5 linked regions of the Macaca mulatta genome follow. The protein of the gene in region 4 interacts with the protein of the main gene of each other region in a biochemical or structural test. Links are inferred from orthologs where the notes say so. Each region holds a gene or a part of one and is shown on either strand. Other genes may lie near its edges.

Region 1 (4,180 bases), on a different chromosome or scaffold from region 4:
TCATTTACTAACGAACAAAACTGAATTTCCCAGAAAATTATGTACCATACCTGGCTTTTTCTGAAATTAGAAGGGTAACAATCAAGAATTTTTGTAGCTCTAAACTGTTAACTGCTTTACTTAATAAATTTTGGGTGCTTTTAACAATGAAAGGAAAGATCACAGAAAAAGCAGTTTCTAGATAAAGCTTGTGCACTGGCTAATGGTAGTAGGTCGTTCTGATGACCCTGAGCATCACTGCTAGCTTTCCAGTATGAAAAGTTGTATTTAAATTCTTTAAATAAGTGAAAAATTAACATTGTATACCATCTCACCCCTAAGTATACTTGCCTATCTCCTGACTTAGTCATCCCTTAACATTCGACAACTCAAGCTGTTTATTGCTCCAGTTTATTACACATTCCAGTTTTCCCAAAAACTGAGCTAAAGGCAACCACAAAATAGTTATGTTCATCATATAAGCCAGAGCTGAATACTGATCCCTAGTTTAAAAAGTCTACTGAAAATGTCAATTCAGCTTTTTCTCTGACATACACTTAGATGTTATTAATCAGGCCATTATAAACAAAACCAAGAGTTATACTGGATAGGTTAAATGACTATGTAAGTTGTGTAACCCTAACACTGTTGCCTTACAAGGAAAACAAATCGATGTCCTACCTACTTAAAGTATTATCTTTAGAGGGACTGGTAGGCATTATCTTTAGAAGAACTGATTTTTGCCCTCTGCTCTCAAGGAACATTCAAAGTCTATGTGGGACACATCATCAGTTTGAAAAAAATGAGGGGAGGGGGCAGCAATAAAATATGTCCATTTATTTTGAAAGGAGCTGTAGGGAAAACAAATATCTTAAAACTGAGAGCTACATAAATTAACAGTGTTTTAAGTAGTGACGTGTGTAGGAGAACATGGTTGATGTTTCTAATCTAACAGGAAGATTAGAAAAATGAAACAAGTTCCACTGCTGATATTATTCAATATTTGTATCATTTTATTTTTGCTAACATTTACAAACCTAGAAATGCCCTTCAAACCATCAAAAGGGTGTACACTTGAAAAATGCTTTCCATACTAGGAGAAACAGTATTTCCCAAGTTGTTGAGAAAAGCTGCTACATTTTCAAAGAATTCGGAACACGGACCTTTTGTAGGTTTTAAAGAATGCAAACCAGTTGAAAATAGAAGCCTCATGAGCTTTTATCTTAGAAAAATGCAAAATTACATACATTGGGATCTCATCTTACAGTGTCCTTCATATTGCCAAAATGTACTTATTAATAGAAAGTCTTGGCTTATAACTAAGTCTTACATGTGCAGATAGATTTGAAAGTTGAAACCTGGGGCTAACATACCTAAATTTGTAAAATTTTATAAACCATAAATTGCACCACCACTGCTATGTATTATTTATCTCGTCTCCCTCAGTAAATGGGCTGAAAGTTTGTAGAATGACATGCTACCTAGCTGCAACAGCACAACAGCACAGTCAACTATTGCTCAGTCCATTTTTAACTAAGGTTTACAACAGGAATCTTCAACGTCACCACCAGAATACACAAAGAAAAATATATTTAAAAATTGACACTGAAAATATAGAGGAACATATTTCACTTTTTTCAACATACAGTTACCAAAGTTTACACAGTTAAGCTGGAAAACCTTGTATTTAACGAAAAATAATTTTTCGAACAAGATTAGAATTTGTTCTACTAAAACTACCTCTGTTTCCCCTCTAGCCAAACAAAAAAAAAACAAAAACAAAAAACTGGGGATTACAAAAAATACAGTCATTTTTAATACTAACATAATGGAAAAGGACAAAAGTCACAAGGTTAACGAGCAGACAAGATCAGCACTATGGCTAGTCTTTCTCTTCGGTTCCACAATTCCTAACCCACATTTTTGCCAAATCCCACTCTACACAGTACTTACACCTTCACCCACCTACCCACCCACCCACCCCATTTATGACGGCGATCACCTTCCGGGCAGGTATGTGAAGTCAGCCCCACTTCCAGTAGACAATCGACTAGAATGTCTCAGAAGTGACTGAGTCAGAGAATAAGAAAATGATAAAGTGAGAAATTAAAACAGATACAAGTTGTAAGGTGTGCGGAGGGAGGTGTCTCAAAGGGGGCTAAGGGTACGGGTGAGGAGCTAGGAGGAGACTTGGGGCGACAGGGAAGGGTTTCGAAGCAGTCCTAGGCAGGAGTGCGCAGGAGAGGCGAGTGAAGCAGCTCCAGTCAGAAGATCCAAAAGAAAACAAAACAAAAGCCACAGCGTTTCCTCTGGGAATAACCTGAGGAAAGGGACTCTCGGGACGCCCCGGCGGGAGGCAGTCCCGGGAAGCACAGGAGGCCGGGAACTCACCACCTGGTAGCGCCCCGTCCCCGGCTGGTGGTGATCCATCCTGCCCGGCTCGGGATCCGGCTTCCGAGCGGGGGAGTTCTCTCCGTGCTCAGCTCCCTCGGCCACCCCCGTCGACGACGTCGTCGCCGCAGGGCCCCTTCCGCCTCCGTTCCTGCCGCCGCGGTCTCCCGGCGGAAGCTCTTCACTTCCTGTGCCTCCCGCAGCGGCCGCCGAGACCTCCGCGTTGGTCGCGGTTCCGCGGAGGAGCACCGGGGCGCCGCGCGCACTATTGAGCATGCTCGGGCCGCTCGCGCAGACTCGCTGGCTCCGCCGGCGTCCCATCCGCGCCGCCAGTGGGAGGGTGTAGCTAGGTGGGAGGAGATGGAAAAGTAAGGCAAGTCCGGGGGAGCTGTCTAGGTTGTCAACCTGTCGAGTGGGCGGTCGCAGAAGGCGCGCGGGGGGCGGGAATGACCCGTCCTTGATTGGTCTTTTCTATGTGCGCGAGTCTCGCGCAGGCACGAGCCAGTGCGCCTTCTCACCACACAGAGACAGAGGCTGACAAAGGCATGGGGCCGCGTTCCTAGAACACCTGAGGACAGGTCTCCCGGGTACCCGACACTTCCTCGTATTACTCACCCAGCGTAGGACGTGGGGAGGAGATTCATCTCTAGAACATTGCTAAAACGCTTATTCAAAAATCATTCGTAAGATAAGGGATTTTTAAAAGACTAATATAGAGTAGTTGTAGTTTACAGCAAAATTGAGAAGTTACAGAGATATCCCGTATACACTTTGCTCCTACGCATGCATAACCCCACCCCCAACCCCGCCATTATCAACATCCCCCACTAGAGTGGTACATGTGTTACAATTGATGAACCCGAATTGACACATCATCATCACTGAAAGTCTATAGTTACCTTGGGGTTCGCTCAGGTTGTTGTATACTCCTCGAGTTACGACAAATGTGTAATGGCAGGTATTCATCATTGTAGTATCCTACAGAGTTATCCACTGCCCTGAAATTCTTCTGTGGGATGATTAGAGACGGGGTCTCACTATATTGCCCAGACGAGTGCAGTGGCTGTTCTCAGGCACAATCATGGCTCACTGCAGCCTCGAACTCCTCAGCCCAAGCTATCCACCTGCCTCAGCCTCTGGAGTAGCTGAGACTACAGGCACCAGCTCTTTGGTTACTTTTTAAATTTTTTTCCACTTTTTGGTAATAAGAGATTTAAAAATCCAACAGACTCTCCAGACAGCTCTCAAAGGAAGAGGTCTCTAGAGTTCTAGGTTACTGGAAGGACGTTAGAAGAAAGTAATGAAATCAGATAGGATTATTTTGTGGTAATAATAATTCCAATGGATTTAACAGCAAGGAATCACTTGGGAGCATTGTTAATAGCATCTCAGTGTCTGGTTAACCACACATGACACGGCATAAAACATATTTCTCTAGCAAGTAGAAGAGTATGACAGAGCAGTGAAAAGTGCCTTTTAACCTGAAGACCAACGTTCTATACCCTCAAAACTATGGTGCTGCTTGATGTGGCCCAGCTATGTTTTTAAGATAACACCACATTTTCCCAAAATGATCTTACAGTGGAGCCCCCTGAAGGGAAGGAAAGGGATCTGGAGCCCCATTTACTTTATTTCCTTCATGAATGTCCAGAGGACATCCTTGAAATGAAGACTGCCACTGGGTGAGCCTAATCAACTGGTTAAAATAGCAAGATACAAAAAAACCCAAAAACTCTTTGCGAGATTGACAACTGAAAAGGTAAGCCTTCCTCGTGGTTCTTTTTAAAGCATTCATCAACTCTTCCTATTT
Region 2 (3,992 bases), on a different chromosome or scaffold from region 4:
ATGGCTGCTTCCTCTTTGTTCTCAGAGGCATAACCCAAATCCCTTAACAGAAACTTTGCAGCTTTTTTTCTCACTTGCTGCTGCAAATAAGTAAGTCATTTACACTTGATTTGAAAAATACTCATCCACTAGTACTCAGTAAAGAATATAATATCTATTTCAAAACACTTTTTACCAAAGAAATTCTCTTTTCAAGCTTATATGCAAATGAGACAAAAAGGGAGGAGGGAAAGCACTGGAATATTTGACAAGGACTTCGAGTGACTTTTACTGAGGTAAAAATTAACAGGCTACTGCAACAGCACATTAACAGTTCTGACAATATTTTATCTGTCAAAAAAAAAGTTTAAAATTTACAAATATCTTTACTGGTGAAAAACTTTCGAAGACTACATGACATTCTAATTTACCCATTTCTGTTTTCCCTGATCATAGGCACAGCACTTAAATTTAGTAAATATTGACAGAAAGAGAAAATACATAGGCCTGAGTTAAGGGGGAGAAAAGCAGTTCTCTGATTTGATTCAAATTTAAGATGCTTTCAAAACTTTAGACGTGTCTAATATGTTCTGCATCAACACTATACCAAATTGAGAAGGATTTTATATTATGTCAAAGACTGCTGCCATTCAAAAATATTCTCAAGTTATTAATACATCATTACTGAGACAATAAAGGTGAAAATCCATAGAAAAATATGAGTATTTATGAATCACCACAGAATGCAGTATTTGTAGAAATATTTTTTCCTTTAGTTGTGATCAATAAAAATTAACAAAATGTCAACATTGGCTAACGCTGTAGAGATTATACATTTTATGTATAATTACTAGAGTTTGTGGATGTTCCACTACTACTACCACTGACAGAGTCTCATTGACAGAATCTTTTCTTCTCTATCAGAAAATATAAATCAATAGGAAACAAATGATCTTCCACTTACATCCAATTAAATATGTTTCTCCTGCTGTTGAGTATTAACTTGTCAAGCACATCCACAAGTTTCAGAGTGAAGAGGTCCAAGGACAATGAAAGTTTTCTATCACCAGTGACACCTCAAATTGTAAAGGGCTACTTTTCAGTTTGATTTGCCCTCACAAGCACAGGGAGGGATAATCATAATTTAACCACGAAAGTTACCTGTGATACATGATTTAAAGTCATGTTTTGTAAAACTGTAAGCAGATTTGCAGCACGATTTTAAATCTGCTTTCAAACATAGCAAAGGCCTGAATTTGCAATTTTCTAGCAAATATGATCATTTCTGATCATTAAGTTTCATGAAGAGAGGCCCTGCTAATCTCTGGAAGTGTCAATTTCATTAAAGAAGATTATGACTCATAAAAGGAAACATCCCCAAAGTACCATCTAATTTGGGTTCACCAAATTTTCCTTGCCAACTCCTTAAACAATCTGTCAGAATGTTAGTCTAATCTCTACTCAAGGATACTCAACTGAAGTTACCGAAGTACAGAATAAGTTTGCTTAAAAGCATAATTCTAGCAAGGTTGCATACATACCACCTAAAGAATGACAACTCATTCAAGTACAAATAAACTGATAATGAAGTAAATATTTCTGAACTATTGCTACTGATGTAAAACCAACAAAAGCGTCCAACCACCTGGAAGACAACCTGACAAAGTGTGCTGGATCCTTCTTTTACACATTACCTTTTAGCACTAGTGGATAACTTAGCAGTGGTTTTGCTAGAGAGTTTGGTGTTTTTCTTCTGCTGGGCGGCAGAAGGTTTTCTTTCCTCTTGTTCTTCAGGCTCTGGAGCGGCTGGGTCTCGCTGGTCCGCATCTGAACTGCCACTGCTGGTGCTGGGGCTCTCATCATCGGACCTTTGCCTATCACTGGACATCTTGGTGAAGTTATCTCTTGGAAAACTTTTAAAGAGAACAGGGGAGGATGGGGAGAAAATGTTAAATCTAGGAAATAAACCAACAGCATTTTCTTCTATTCATCTAATATCGTATTGTAATGAAAAAGCTTCAAAAGTGTTCACACTTATTTCATCATACAACAAGGGTTACAAGGGAGGTGATGTGTCACACAACGCCAGCGTTCAGGGATTTGCCGAACTCAAGTTAGAAAACCCACTCACATTTTTTTCCATCTCTTGGACAATCTATCAATTGTCTACTTTCTCAGAAGGCATGAAACAGATTTGCCAAGGAACTTAGGCAACAAGCATTAATAACATATGACATACTGTAAATAACAGATCTCGCTGAAAAAATGTTTAAAAGTCACTAATAACGTCTAAATATTTACACACTGACATTGGTCAAAGCTACCAAATTCCCTTTCCGAGAGGAAAACACACCCTGTTAATCGCCCATATGCTTATTTAAGGTGGCGATTCCTTCTCAGTGCACGTAAAGGCTTTAAACACAACACTTGGAAATTTAAAAATCAACTAACGAGCTCCTCTAGCTGTTTCCACCGCCAGCAGCGAAGATTCATCTGGCCAAGACCTAGCTGCCACCCTGGGAAAAGCAGAATTCAAACTGCACCTTCTGCAAAGCTCCCAATGCCACCAAGGTTCCTCGCTCAATTTTTACATCACGGACCGACATTTTGTCCAAAATAACGAAAAAAATAAGAAACCCAGAGGAAAAACAAACAAACAAACAAAGCCCCAAGAAGTGCAACAAATTTCCGCGCCCGCGGAGGCGAGCCGCGGCCGGCGGCGGCGGCCACGCAGCTCCGCGGCCCTTTGTGGGGAGGGCCGCGCGGGGGCCGCGGGCAGCGCTCGCCGCGCCGGGCGCCAAGTGATGCGAGCAGCCCGGCCGGCCCCGCCGCGGCTCGCGGACACCGGCGGCGCGGGCGCCCGGCGCGAACAAAGCTGCCCGCCCCCGCCCCCTCCCCCACCGCAGCCGCCGCCGCCCCGGCCGCCCCCCACGCGGCCCCCCGGCCCCTCCGCCTTACCTCGGCCGCCCGCCCGGCCCGCTCGCGCGCCGCTACGGTGTGGGGGAGGGAGAGAGAAAAAAACCCTTCCTTAAGGAAATGGAGGCAGCTGTGGGGGGGGGAAGGGGGGGGAGGGAAAAAAAGAAGCCGAGGAGGCTCTGGCCGGGGAGTGTGGAACATTGAAAGTCGGAGGGGGTTGTGCAGTGCCGGGCTCCGGCCGGAGGGTGGCGCCGCCCAGCGCCTTCGGAAAAAAGGGGGGGTGGGAGCTCGGCTGGGCGAGGGCGCGAGCTCCCGGCGAGGCGGAGGGGACGCGGGAGACCCCCGCGCGCTGTGGCCTCCCGCCGCCGCCGCCCGGCTCGGCTCCTCCCGGCCGCGCAGTCAGCAAGTTCCGAGGCGAACGCGGGGGGAGGGGCGGGCGCGGCGGCGGCGCGCGTGCTCGCTGCTTGCCTGGCGGAGGGGCGCGCGCCGCCGGCGCCCGGCGGGCGCGAGCTGTTCCCGCGCGCTCCCGCGCGCGCTCCCCGCACCTCCCCTCACCCGGGGGGTGCACGCGTCCGCCCGCGCGCGGCCAGGACAAAGAGCGCGGCGGGGACCTGGCGGGCTGGCCCCTGCCGCCCTTGGCCGCGGAGCCTGTGCCAGAGAAGGCGGGGGCGCGGGCACCGTATCGTGGGGCCGCTGTGCCGCGGGGTGGCTTCCGGCCTGGGCCCGCCTCCGGGCGGAGGCTGCCCATTGGGCTACCCGCGTCCCCAGGGCTAGTTCCATCCCGTTCGCCTGCGTGGGGGACGTCGTGGCTCCCGGGGCCCCAGTACCTGGGAAAGGGCCCTGGGCGCGTGGTTGGGAGTCCCCCGCCGCCCCGGGAGACGGGAGACTAATGGGTGTTGTTGGCGAGGCCAGGCACGCAGGCGGAGAAGAGCTGCCACTTGCCCCTCGTGTAAGCTGGAGGAAGGGACAAGGTGGGGTCCTGGGCATTGAAGAGAGTAGAATATATTTGTTGATTAGGGGACCAACCTCTATTTATTTTTGGCTCACAGCTTGCAACTGTCGCTGCCAAAAGAGACCGTCCTTCGGATGCTTTGAAA
Region 3 (4,044 bases), on a different chromosome or scaffold from region 4:
GAACATCAGTGGTTCTCAGTCTTCTTTCCACCCCAACCCATCTGAGGGATTCAACACCTCTCCATTTATAGAAGTGACGACAGTCTGAAAACGTCCCTCAGGTGATTCTAAGACACTACCCTAGAAGCTGTTCCCGTGCTGGTACCCTCTAGTACACTACGGCAGACTTATCTGAGGTTCCACACAGCTCTACAGTCTGCAACTTTAGGTACAGGAAAACTATAGTAACACTTCAATAGGAGCTTAGGAAGAAAGGCCAAAAGTTAGTATACATCTTCATTTGTTGGAACATGAAAGATTCAAATAAGAATGTCTATACTGATGACATCAAAGAAGAAGATGGTATAACTGTTCATATGGCAGGCGGCACAACTGACCTAGAATTGGCTTCTAATCAAGGAGGTAGATAAAGGAGGAGGAAAAATAGGGAATCAATCAAAATAATCACCCCTAAGGTTTGAGGAAACGGTCTGAATGTGTGATTAATGGAAAGACTTGTGTAAGTTAACTTGCCTGATATCAGAAAGGGAAGCCAAAGATGAACGCACAGAGATGTGATGGTATATGATCCCAATTTCTTCTCCAAAATATCGATTTGTCACATGTTTGATATCAATTCCATGTAAGTAATTTTTTTTTTCTGAACAACTCTATAAACTAATAACCAATAAATACTAAAAAGAAAAGATTTGGACACACACATTATAAATACAAATCAAATACACCAGTTCAGCATGGTGATTGACGAGAACTGCCAAGTATGGTATTTACAAACAATGTTCATATTTCTTTGAATATCCACTTACTGTGGACAAATTGCACAGCATTTAAACGCTATTGTTATAGTTGGGTATGGTGACTTGTGCCTGTAATCCCAGACTCTCTGGAGGACAGGAGTTCAAGACCAGCATGGGCAACATACTGAGATCCCCATCTCTTAAAAAAACACAGTGATAATTTAAAAAGCTCTTGTATGTGCAAAATCATGTGAAAAATTCTCACAACTAGGAAAGAAGGAAATAGAATTTGAAAACTTCCTTGGAAGATGTGCATTTTCTGATCCAAATGTGAACCAATATTACGTCGTCATTAATAAGTATGCAAGTTATGGTAAAGAGGCCGACTGAGGCTTCAAAATTAGGATATTTATATAAAACAACGTGTAACTGAACTATCTTCAAACAAGAAAACATTATAACTTAATAAATGCTGATGCTGATTGTTAACTGTATGTTTTACAATGAGACGACCTTTAAATGGGACAAAAAATAACAGGTGATCAACAGATTTAGAATTTGAAAATAAAAAACTGGCAGGCTCTAAAAGTTGCTGTCCTCTGTACCTAAAGATGCCACTAGTGGCTAGTCAGAATACAATGTGTACGTCACTATCACTGCTCTAACATTTACTATTGCTATAATGGACTACTGGTCAAAAAAGTAGATAAAAATGTGGGCATTAATTTCTTCTGAAACAACTACAAAATACACTGACCATTGTTGCTTAACTTAGTGAAAAGCACTCCCTATTTAACAAACACATTCTCAATGTTCCCAGTGTGAACTGTAACTGTAAAACCTAAAACTTGGGTCAGTACACAGACCAACAAGAAATAAAAATGAACAGAAAGAAATGCCCGAATATCAATTCTGAAGGATGTTCGCTTCTGAAATGGTGGCAATAAATACTGTGAAAAAAAGACAATTCCACACACAGGGTTGAGATGGGTGAACAGTTGTTGGATGAAGATACATATTTCTTCCTCATTTTATACCCATGTGTCAAAGCATCAAAACAATCTATTTGCGACAGTTTATGTTGTGTCTCGAACTTTACATCTAAGTTTACCATGAGGGGCAAAAAAAACCTGTTTGGCTTGACTCACCGTGAATCACAGCCAGGAGGTCATCTTGTTGTGTATCAGCAACTATGTTTTCGCTACAGCTATGTGACCTGAAGTGGCAGCAGCAGAGGCACCAAAATAGAAGGGGCAGGAGCCTTCTCTTGGCTTCTTGGCCGCAAATGGGCTTTCCAGCCCATTCGGGCAACTGAGCAAGAGCCAACCGCAGAGGAGAAAGAACCAACCCGACAGCTCCGCGGAGAAAGGCTGCAGGCCCACCCCACCTTCCGTGCCCTCCCGGGGAGCCCGGGTAAGCAAGAACATAAAAGAGACAGGCTTAAGAAACAGCCTGGAGAAAACACAGCATGACAGGGGTCAAAACTAGCCTCATGGAGGGCAAAACCCAGCCGTGACCGTGAAGCACAGATTTCGGGGCGGTCTGGACGCGGAGGAGGCTCTCTACCCTGGGGCTCCGGGAGCGGCCCCGGCGCGAGCGCGCCACGGGCCCCCAGCCTTCAAGCTCCCCCGGCCGCCTGGGATCTGCCCCCGCTCCCACCTAACCTGTCCGGTGCCCGCTGGCCGGGCCCGAGCCTCCAGCTCCCTGCCCGCACCCCGGCCCACCCTTCCATCCCGTGCTTTCCCTGCATATCTCTCGGGACCACTGGCCGAGTCAGCGTGGGCAGGCGCCGCTGCCCTGCTGCCCCGCAGCCCCAGGCCCGGCCCCGGCACTCACTTTCTGAATCCGCTTCAGCGCCATGGATCAGGGATCGCGGTGGGGACACCGGCCGGCAGGGGTCGGCTGCGGGGCTCGGGGGCGTGAGTCTTCGCGAGTTGGGCTCGCTGGCAGCTCAGCTGGCTCCGCGCGGTGGGTCCCCGGTTCGCCGCTCCCTGGCTCGCTCCGGGCGCCGGTCCCTGCTCCGTCTGCGCCCGAGCGCGAGTGTGCGCGAGTGTGCGGGCGGGGAGGCCGGCGAGACTCTTTTGTTTCCGCTTTTGCTTCTGGGAAGGAGCCTGCGCCCTCCCCGCCGCGCCCCGCCCCGCCTGGCATACTGGGAAGTGTAGTTCCAGCCCTGTCCTCGGCCGCAGGCCCCCAGACGCTGCCAGGTTACTTGCTGCTGACCTTAGCCAGGCAGCTTAAGGTGAGAGCTGCCGGGTGCTGGAGTTAGTCTCTACAGTCTCATTTAGAGCAAGTTACTGAACCTGGGGCTGCGCATCTGTAAAATGGGGATAACAAATGAGCTCCTAACGCACATAAAGGAATTTCTAAATCATCAGTTAGTAATTCCTTATCCAATAGGTGCCACAGCTGGTTTTATTATATTTACCTTTAAATATTTCACTGTCTTTTCTCAAATATATGAATTATCTCAATTACTCACCCAGCACACATGCACAAACTCATATCTATCAGACCCCTTACTTACCTCCTTGGTTCTTACTGCAGAGGAAAAAGGTGTCTCTTCTGTCCAATGCACAGATCTTCCGTGTCTGAGTGCATCGTCTGCTCATAGGTATGCCCCTCCCATAAATTACCCGCTTCGAACACCGAGTTCAGAGCTCTCACTCCCATCGTTGACTCCTTCCCTTCCATTGACAGTCTCTGACTAATAGTCAACGCACACTCCCCACTCTCCAATTCCTGGGCACTTGTGTACCCATTAAAACTTGGCTTCTTGGCCGGGCACAGTGGCTCACGCCTGTAATCCTAGGGCTTTGGGAGGCTGAGGCGGGCAGATTACCTGAGGTTGGGAGTTCGAGACCAGACTGGCCAACATGGTGAAATCCCATCTCTACTAAAAATACAAAAATTACCTGGGCATGGTGGTGGGCGCCTGTAATCCCAGCTACTCAGGAGACTGAGGCAGGAGAACCGCTTAATCCCGGGAGGCGGAGGTTGCAGTGAGCTGAGTTGGAGTCACTGCTCTCCAGCCTGGGCGACAGAGTAAGACTCTGTCTCAAAAAGGAAAAAAAAAAAAAGTGAAAACATCAACAGATGTTGGTGACGCTGAGGAGAAAAGGTAACATTTATATGCTGTTAGTGGGAATGTAAATTAGTTCAGCCATCGTGGAAAACAGTTTGGAGATTTCTCAAAGAACTTACAACAAAACTACCATTTGACCCAGCAATCCCATTACTGGTTATATATGCAACTGAAAACAAATTATTCCACCAAAAAGATATATGTTCTCACATGTTCATCAGTACT
Region 4 (3,500 bases):
GTTCGCCTTCAAAGAAACACACTTCTATCAGCGGACTTGGGTGCACACAGCCTCGGGTGTGAGGCTGGGTGCTGGGAGACTTCCTGAGCTGGGGCACACAGATGTCCTGGGTGGTACTCCAGATTATATGCTACTGTGTGACCGTCAGCATCCTAGAGAAGGGGCTGTGTGTTGGGATTTTAAAATTTTGCCCCAAAAGGTACAGTGTAAGGGTCCTAAGCTGATGGAGAAATTTAGGACTAAGCTAGAAGAGCACCCCATGGGAGCTACATCGAGGAGAAACTCAGAGCATCCCTCTCATACACAGTGACACTGGGCAGTTTGAAATACCTTTAAGCTCTACCCGGTTTGGCAGTGGAATTTAGTAGCCAGAACAGATGATAATGTTTTTCCCTTCCCCTATGATCACCTTAGCAGCAACCCTTTACATTTAAGACTACGGGGGTGTTAGAACCAAGTTCTGTAAGAATTTGGATCTGCAACTGTGTGGGGTTCATTCCACAGTAGATTTGAAGCTATTGGAAATCTATTGCTGTTTTCTAGACACTTGGAAGTATTTTCTATGTAAATAGAACTAATTAACTTTGTCTAGAGAAAATAATTATCTGGGTGTACATTATTTTATTAAACTGATCAGAAATCAAATGCAAGGTATTAAATAATAATGATTTCTTGCACAAACAGCCATCAGTGGCCTATGTACATACCACGCCGGGTCTGCCTTCAGGCTGGGAAGAAAGAAAAGATGCTAAGGGGCGCACATACTATGTCAATCATAACAATCGAACCACAACTTGGACTCGACCTATCATGCAGGTACGAAGATCGCCATCCAACTTAAAACCGCAGGCCATAGAAGCCGAAATGTACATGACCGACCTCCCTCCCTGGTGTTTATATATTGTTCTGAAAGAGTCATATTTGTAAAAAGCTGTCTCACAAAGAAAATGCATTACTTTAAATACAATAATAGCCTAAGGAAGAATTTGCTTTCCAAATCAGTTTATCACTGAATACATTTTTAAAATGTGAAGTGAAAGATATTTTCAAAGTAAGAGCCTATTACAGTGTGTAGCTTCTTCCCTGCCCCACCCCTCACCCCCTGCCTTTAATCTGAGGCTAGTTTTTATGCTGGGCTAGTGATTCATTTTTATTTCCCTTGAATGTGTTTCCCCATCCTTTCCCCCATCATTATGTTTAATTATTTCCTCCACGCTTTAAATAGGCCAGACCTCTTATTATTGCTGTTTGCGTTGTTGTTTGGGTTCGCGCTCCTAATCACACACACAGGGAGATCCTCCTATGAAGCTAACTTGTTTTTGCCTCCAAAATAGCTTGCAGAAGATGGTGCGTCTGGATCAGCCACAAACAGTAACAACCATCTAATCGAGCCTCAGATCCGCCGGCCTCGTAGCCTCAGCTCGCCAACAGTAACTTTATCTGCCCCGCTGGAGGTGAGACGGCTACCTCATCTAACTGGACTCACTCTGTCCTGTGACTCCCATTCTTTCTTCTCTCTTAACTCTGCCTTCAGTTTGGCAGCCACCTCCTCTCTCTGATCAGTCGTTGTGTTGGTGGTGAAGGGTGTTCTTGTGCAGCCTTTCTACCTGCTTCTCTGTCTCGCCCAGTTAACATTCCTGGACTCTCTCACCTGATTCTCATTCTCATTTGGCTAAGGCCGCAGTGACTTGTGCTGGACGTGGGCACTCTCTTTTCAGGACTTCCACCGTTCTTGTTGTGTTTCGCTTCTTTTTGCCTGTTACCTCATTAGAATTGCATAATCTGTCTTTCAAATACCAAGTGCTGATATTGAGTTTTTAAACATAGCTATTGCTTTGATCATTTTTTTTCTTTCGACTGTAGGGTCTTTCATTCTATGGGCATACATGTTTCTGATGCATATTTGCATATCTGCATCGTGGCTGGGCATCTGCTTGTGCTCCCTGTCGTGTTTGTATTGTTTTGGTGCCATCCTTTAACATCACAAATGTCAGAGTTAGAGAAGCCAAAGAGCAAAGGTTTGAGGTCCTAAGCTTGACTGTGTCTTAGAGACAACTGTAGGCTTCTCCATGCCCTGGTTCCAGATGCCAATAAGTGGGAATGGATGCTGTCTTTTCCACACACTGATATGAATGTCATGGGTAACAACTGTGAGATTCCAGATCATTGTCTTTATTGATGTAGGTTTTTCTCTTCTGTGCTCTAAAACTTGCCAATCTATTCTTCATTAGACTGTGAGCTCATTAAGAGCAAGGGCACGTTTTTCTCTACTCTGTAAAATCTCCATCCATAATGCTTAGTACAGAACAGTATTTTTGGTACATACTGAGTAGCTACCAAAGGATGGTGATTATAAGTACTTAATATTGTTGTGTGTTTATCCAACAGAGGAAATGTAAAGTTAGATTGATTTAAAAGTAAATGAATGACAGAAAACAGGTTTTGGGAATCTTCCCTCTTGTCCGCCTCCAAAGAGAAGCCTCCTACAATACCCAGGTACATTTTGGCACATTGGAATCGCAGCTGCTGAAGAGTTCTAATGCTAATTGTTATTCTTTAGGGTGCCAAGGACTCACCCGTACGTCGGGCTGTGAAAGACACCCTTTCTAACCCACAGTCCCCACAGCCATCACCTTACAACTCCCCCAAACCACAACACAAAGTCACACAGAGCTTCTTGCCACCCGGCTGGGAAATGAGGATAGCGCCAAACGGCCGGCCCTTCTTCATTGATCATAACACAAAGACCACAACCTGGGTAAGGCTGCTGCTTTTATTTGGCTCCGTTTTCATCGTGAAGTCTGGCATTAATTCCTTGATTTCCTTACTCAGTGTTTGTAGTTCTTGCAGAGGAATTAGATTGACTGTAAAGGGTGTTTCCAGAGGGTCTCCTCAGCCTGCATCTGGCCCCTGCACAAATGGGTGGGTGGGAGTGGGTGGGCATAGGCTGATAGCTGTCTTTGGTAGTGGTGCTGGGACTGCCTTTTCTCCTGGGAAACTCTAGTTTAGACAGTTCACCATGCTGGATGGAAAGGTACTGTTCTGTGCTGTTAAGATTTTGTTAATTGATCCCATCTTACAAAATAAGGAGTTATAATCATTTTCAAATAGGAGTTATAATCATTTTCAAATAATTTTTTCTTTTGTCAGTTTCTTTTTGCACTTTTATTGGCATTACCCACCTTCTTTTGATTTGTCACTTTAGTTTTTACTGTTCACATCAGATCAGTATTCACACGTCTGAGCTACATTTCCGTGCCCTTAATCATGGGATAGGGGATGTATGGAGTGACTTTGGTTGTAAATCTGATACTCCTTTTTGTGATCATTTTGTCAAAATTGATTTTTCTTACCATGCAACTGTTTCATGTACTCCTGAATTGTACCCAAGAAAGAATCTGTACATTGTATTATCTTGAGCAAAATGAGATTAATCAGAGGTGAATATGCATATCTTTGTATTTCTCTGTCAGTTCTTTATTTCTTGAGCTGAATCAGTG
Region 5 (4,158 bases), on a different chromosome or scaffold from region 4:
TGGACAGCCTGAGCACAATTTGCTCTCTCAACAGGAGAAGGAACCAGGTGGGAGCAGGGCTAGGCTGAGCTAGGCTAGTTGAATGGTGGGACATGACGTATGGGTGGCATTGGCAATAACAAAGTCATATTTTATGACGATTCCGTGCAAAAGGAAGCAGACATAGGCCAGTTACTGTGATTTGAAATTGCCTAAACATTGCTTTAGGTTGGCATGTCAATTTCAGGTACTAGTAAGTGCTTTTTTTAATTTTATTTTATTTTTATTTTTTGAGACGAGTCTCGCTCTGTTGCCAGGCTGGAGTGCAGTAGCATGATCTCGGCTCACAGCAACCTCCGCCTCCCGGGTTCAAGCGATTCTCCTGCCTCAGCATCCCGAGTAGCTAGGACTATAGGCGCACACCACCACGCCTGGCTAATTTTTTCTATTTTTAGTAGACACGGGGTTTCTCCATGTTAGCCAGGATGGTCTCGATTTCTTGGCCTCGTCATCCACCTGCCTCGGCCTCCCAAAGTGCTGGGATTACAGGTGTGAGCCACTGCGCCCGTCCCCAGTAAGTGCTTTTTTTTAAGTGTGGGCATTAAGAAAACGTTCCCAGCCAGACTCCAGGAAAGAGAATGTGTTTCTCTTCTCTCGGTTTGGGACTGTTGCAACAAAGCAAACCAAGAAGCAGTTGAGACTAGAGATCACTTTAGGGCAAGTGGGGGTGGTTTTGCCTGCAAAACAAACCCCTGCCCAAGACCAAGGAAAAGGCGTTTCACATGCTATTCCTGGTTTGACAGCTGGTATTTCGGGACTGTGCCAGATCTAGTAGGCAACTTTAAAATGGCAGAGCCCTTGGCAGCAAGAGGTCATGGCAGGGCAGCCACCGCAGACAGCAACAGCAAGCGCCAGGTACCTGGCCTTGCGAATAGTGGTAACTTGTAACTGCCTGCTCTGGGCCCAATCGCTGCGCTCGCGGCTTCCCAGCCAGCACTGGCTCACGTCCCCGCGCCGGCGGTCAGCCTGCGGCTCCCAGACATCCCCCAGTCGCGGGGTTACTGGAAGGCACCGGCATCGCTGCTCTGCAGAGCCCGGGCCGCCGCCTCCAGCTTCCCTCCCTTCCCTGCCCTGCCTTCTGCAGCAGGGTCACCCGGCTAATCTTTCAGGATAAAGTCACAGTTTCTGTGGGACTCGAGAGAAAGAGCGAGGTGGCAAAACGAAGACAAGCCCTGGGGCAGCCTTGAGTTAAATCCAGGGAGGAGTAGGGATGATTTTAAGATCATGTATCGTGACCTGCAGGGTTTTCAGGTGGGAGAGCTGGAGAGAAGCAGGCCCCATAGAGGAATCGAGGATGCCCGGGTCACGCCAGGTCGGTCTCCGGGCAAAGCTACCCCCTCCTTTCGCTTGTTACCTCCTCACGTGTTCTTGGCATGGCAGAGATTAAAAATGCAAGGAAAAAAATTACATGCGGAACGGACAAAATGTTCTCAGAGATTACTTCAGAAAAAAAAAAGTGAAATGCAGATTGTACTTTTTCCTTTAGAGCAGAGACGACTTTTATTTCCGCCCCCTCCCCTCCACATTCCTGACCTCTCCCTCCCCCCCTTCCCTCTTTCTTTCCTTCCTTCCTCCTCTTCCAAGTTCTGGGATTTTTCAGCCTTGCTTGGTTTTGGCCAAAAGCACAAAAAAGGCGTTTTCGGAAGCGACCCGACCGTGCACAAGGGCCATTTGTTTGTTTTGGGACTCGGGGCAGGAAATCTTGCCCGGCCTGAGTCACGGCGGCTCCTTCAAGGAAACGTCAGTGCTCGCCGGTCGCTCTCGCCTGCCGTGCGCCCCGCCGCCCGCTGCCCGCTGCCCATGAGGGAGATGCAGGGCGCGCTGGCCAGGGCCCGGCTCGAGTCCCTGCTGCGGCCCCGCCACAAAAAGAGGGCCGAGGCGCAGAAAAGGAGCGAGTCCTTCCTGCTGAGCGGACTGGGTAAGCGCGGTCGCCGGCCCCTCTGGGGACTTGGCTCACTTCCCCAGAGCGGCTCGGCTCCTGCCCCGCTCGCGGGCTCGTCCGCAGGGGCAGGCTTTCGTCGGAGTTCTGGGAGCCGGGGTCCCGGCGGCGGGAACGGGAGGACCTGGCAGGCAAGGTCGCGCGCTTCGCCCTGCGCCCCAGAGATAAACCCCAGAGGGTGGCGCGCACCGCCGGCTTGGGCTGGGGAGGGAGGTGGGGGTCCGGCCGCAGGACGGCGCCAGGCCGGGGAAAGGGAATCTGCAGGGAGGGAGTGAGCGAAGCCACCGTGGCCGCCGCGCACCCGCCGGGAAGCGCCTCGGCGCTGCGACCCCGGCTTTCTCGGGCGGCGGAATAAATGAGAGGTGGAAAACTACCCTGGGCTCTCCGGCCCTCCCCGCGCCCTCCGCTGGCGCGTTCCCTCTCTCTTCTGCCTCGGGGGCCGATGGAGGCTGATAACGGCCCCGCGCCAGGCCCTCCCCGGACGGTCCTCGCGCCCCTGCCCGGGGCTCGCCCTCTCAATGGGGACAGAACCGCCCGCCACAGGCAGCACCGCTGCCAGCAAACCGCGAGGCGGTCCGGGCGGAGGGAGGGGCGAGGCGAAGGGCGGGGCCGCTTCTCATTGTCGCTCAGGCCCCGCCCCCGCGGCGGGGCCTCGCCTATAAGGCCGAGCGCGCGGCCCGGCGCAGCACACACCGAGCCGGTCTCCGAGCGCTAACGTCTTCCTGTCTCCCCGCGGTGGTGATGACGGTGAAAACCGAGGCAGCTAAGGGCACCCTCACTTACTCCAGGATGAGGGGCATGGTGGCAATTCTCATCGGTGAGTGCAGGAATCTGGCGGGACTTATGCTCCAGGAGACTCAAAGTGGAAATTTTTTGAAAGTCCGGCATCAGATTAGTGTATGTGGCTCCGGACGTTATGAAGCCGTCTAAACGTTTCTTTATTTCTCCTCCTTAATCCACAGCTTTCATGAAGCAAAGGAGGATGGGCCTGAACGACTTTATTCAGAAGATTGCCAATAACTCCTATGCATGCAAACAGTAAGTTTGACGGGATTTGAGGAAATAAGAATAACTAGTCTGGTTTGAATTTGCCAGCAGTAAACATTCTCATCACGGCGTTTATCGGGAAGGCGAAGACTTCTTCTGGGGTGGGAATCTCTTTTCTCCTTAAATTTTAATATATTAGACACATTTTAAACATTAAAGTTAATTTGCTGTTTTGGCTTGAACTGGAGATGTAAGATAAATGGTTCGTGTTGGCCGAATTCACTCCCTTTCTCCATGAGCAACAATCCTTATTTCTGTATTTAACGGGGTTTATTATTTTCTTTAACTGAGTAATATATTGGGGTATTTTCAGTTTAAACACCGAATTATCCGGGTAGAAGACGGTAGAGCCAGAAACCGACTTTTGATGTTGGTATGCCCCCTAGTGGCGAGCTGGATTCTGAATCGTGCCCTTTATTCCCTGCAGCCCTGAAGTTCAGTCCATCTTGAAAATCTCCCAACCTCAGGAGCCTGAGCTTATGAATGCCAACCCTTCTCCTCCAGTAAGTATTTTCTATGTGCAGTGCCTCTGTGGAGAACTGTAAGGGAGTCAGTTAGTATTCCTGCCTTAATGGTTTAAAATAGCATTTCTAGAATTTAGTATCAAAGCAGGAATGCTTCATTACTTTATGGCATAACAAGTGATAACAAATATTTAAGTATTCAGTCAGTATTATTTTATTTTTTCGTGGGCGTATTTTACCTCCAAAGTGGATTATTTTAAAAGGCATATTTCATTAAAAAGTTTTATCTGTCCGAAACAACATGATTGTGTGCAGTTTCCATACTCATTTGAAATGACTTGTGATGAAATGTAGTTTTGAATGTTTATAGACAGATGTATGGTCATTTGCCTCAGTCATTTGTAGATGTAACATCTTCTACATCGTTTATATTATAACTGTCTTCCTTTGAAGCAATGATATTAAGAGAAATCCTTTTCTTTTTTTCCTAGCCAAGTCCTTCTCAGCAAATCAACCTTGGCCCATCGTCCAATCCTCATGCTAAACCATCTGACTTTCACTTCTTGAAAGTGATTGGGAAGGGCAGTTTTGGAAAGGTAATTTCGAATCTGAAGATCTTTTGGTACACTTTCTTCATGTCCTCATTTTACATTCTCCCTGGATAAGGAT

What was found. The genes of interacting proteins can lie anywhere in the genome.
Region 1: of the proteins of NEDD4L (region 4) and NDFIP2, one has a biochemical effect on the other in vitro, tested with the Homo sapiens proteins (2 studies listed by BioGRID, with this or other methods). The link is inferred for Macaca mulatta from reciprocal best matches to the Homo sapiens genes NEDD4L and NDFIP2.
Region 2: the proteins of NEDD4L (region 4) and UBE2E3 form a complex in vitro, tested with the Homo sapiens proteins (3 studies listed by BioGRID). The link is inferred for Macaca mulatta from reciprocal best matches to the Homo sapiens genes NEDD4L and UBE2E3.
Region 3: the proteins of NEDD4L (region 4) and UBE2D1 form a complex in vitro, tested with the Homo sapiens proteins (7 studies listed by BioGRID). The link is inferred for Macaca mulatta from reciprocal best matches to the Homo sapiens genes NEDD4L and UBE2D1.
Region 5: of the proteins of NEDD4L (region 4) and SGK1, one has a biochemical effect on the other in vitro, tested with the Homo sapiens proteins (5 studies listed by BioGRID). The link is inferred for Macaca mulatta from reciprocal best matches to the Homo sapiens genes NEDD4L and SGK1.

Annotation. Positions count from the first base shown.
Region 1 is NC_133422.1:74,318,458-74,322,637, reverse strand, and holds the start of NDFIP2 (NEDD4 family-interacting protein 2), read right to left. Parts: upstream 2,801-4,180; 5' UTR 2,692-2,800; coding exon 2,371-2,691; intron 1-2,370. UniProt on the Homo sapiens protein: Activates HECT domain-containing E3 ubiquitin-protein ligases, including ITCH, NEDD4, NEDD4L, SMURF2, WWP1 and WWP2, and consequently modulates the stability of their targets. As a result, may control many cellular processes.
Region 2 is NC_133417.1:85,866,748-85,870,739, reverse strand, and holds the start of UBE2E3 (ubiquitin-conjugating enzyme E2 E3), read right to left. Parts: upstream 2,523-3,992; intron 2,093-2,522; coding exon of another isoform or gene 2,050-2,092; intron 1,893-2,049; 5' UTR 1,868-1,892; coding exon 1,674-1,867; intron 1-1,673. Other genes in the region: uncharacterized protein LOC144333280, read left to right, coding at 2,050-2,092, 2,613-3,844. UniProt on the Homo sapiens protein: Accepts ubiquitin from the E1 complex and catalyzes its covalent attachment to other proteins. In vitro catalyzes 'Lys-11'- and 'Lys-48'-, as well as 'Lys-63'-linked polyubiquitination.
Region 3 is NC_133414.1:91,527,783-91,531,826, forward strand, and holds the start of UBE2D1 (ubiquitin-conjugating enzyme E2 D1), read right to left. Parts: upstream 2,801-4,044; 5' UTR 2,598-2,800; coding exon 2,574-2,597; intron 1-2,573.
Region 4 is NC_133423.1:22,653,015-22,656,514, reverse strand, and holds part of NEDD4L (E3 ubiquitin-protein ligase NEDD4-like), read left to right. Parts: intron 1-684; coding exon 685-816; intron 817-1,334; coding exon 1,335-1,454; intron 1,455-2,560; coding exon 2,561-2,758; intron 2,759-3,500. UniProt on the Homo sapiens protein: E3 ubiquitin-protein ligase that mediates the polyubiquitination of lysine and cysteine residues on target proteins and is thereby implicated in the regulation of various signaling pathways including autophagy, innate immunity or DNA repair.
Region 5 is NC_133409.1:39,239,250-39,243,407, reverse strand, and holds the start of SGK1 (serine/threonine-protein kinase Sgk1), read left to right. Parts: upstream 1-1,358; 5' UTR 1,359-1,428; coding exon 1,429-1,957; intron 1,958-2,665; exon of another isoform or gene 2,666-2,719; coding exon of another isoform or gene 2,720-2,795; intron 2,796-2,940; coding exon 2,941-3,016; intron 3,017-3,452; coding exon 3,453-3,528; intron 3,529-3,980; coding exon 3,981-4,085; intron 4,086-4,158. UniProt on the Homo sapiens protein: Serine/threonine-protein kinase which is involved in the regulation of a wide variety of ion channels, membrane transporters, cellular enzymes, transcription factors, neuronal excitability, cell growth, proliferation, survival, migration and apoptosis.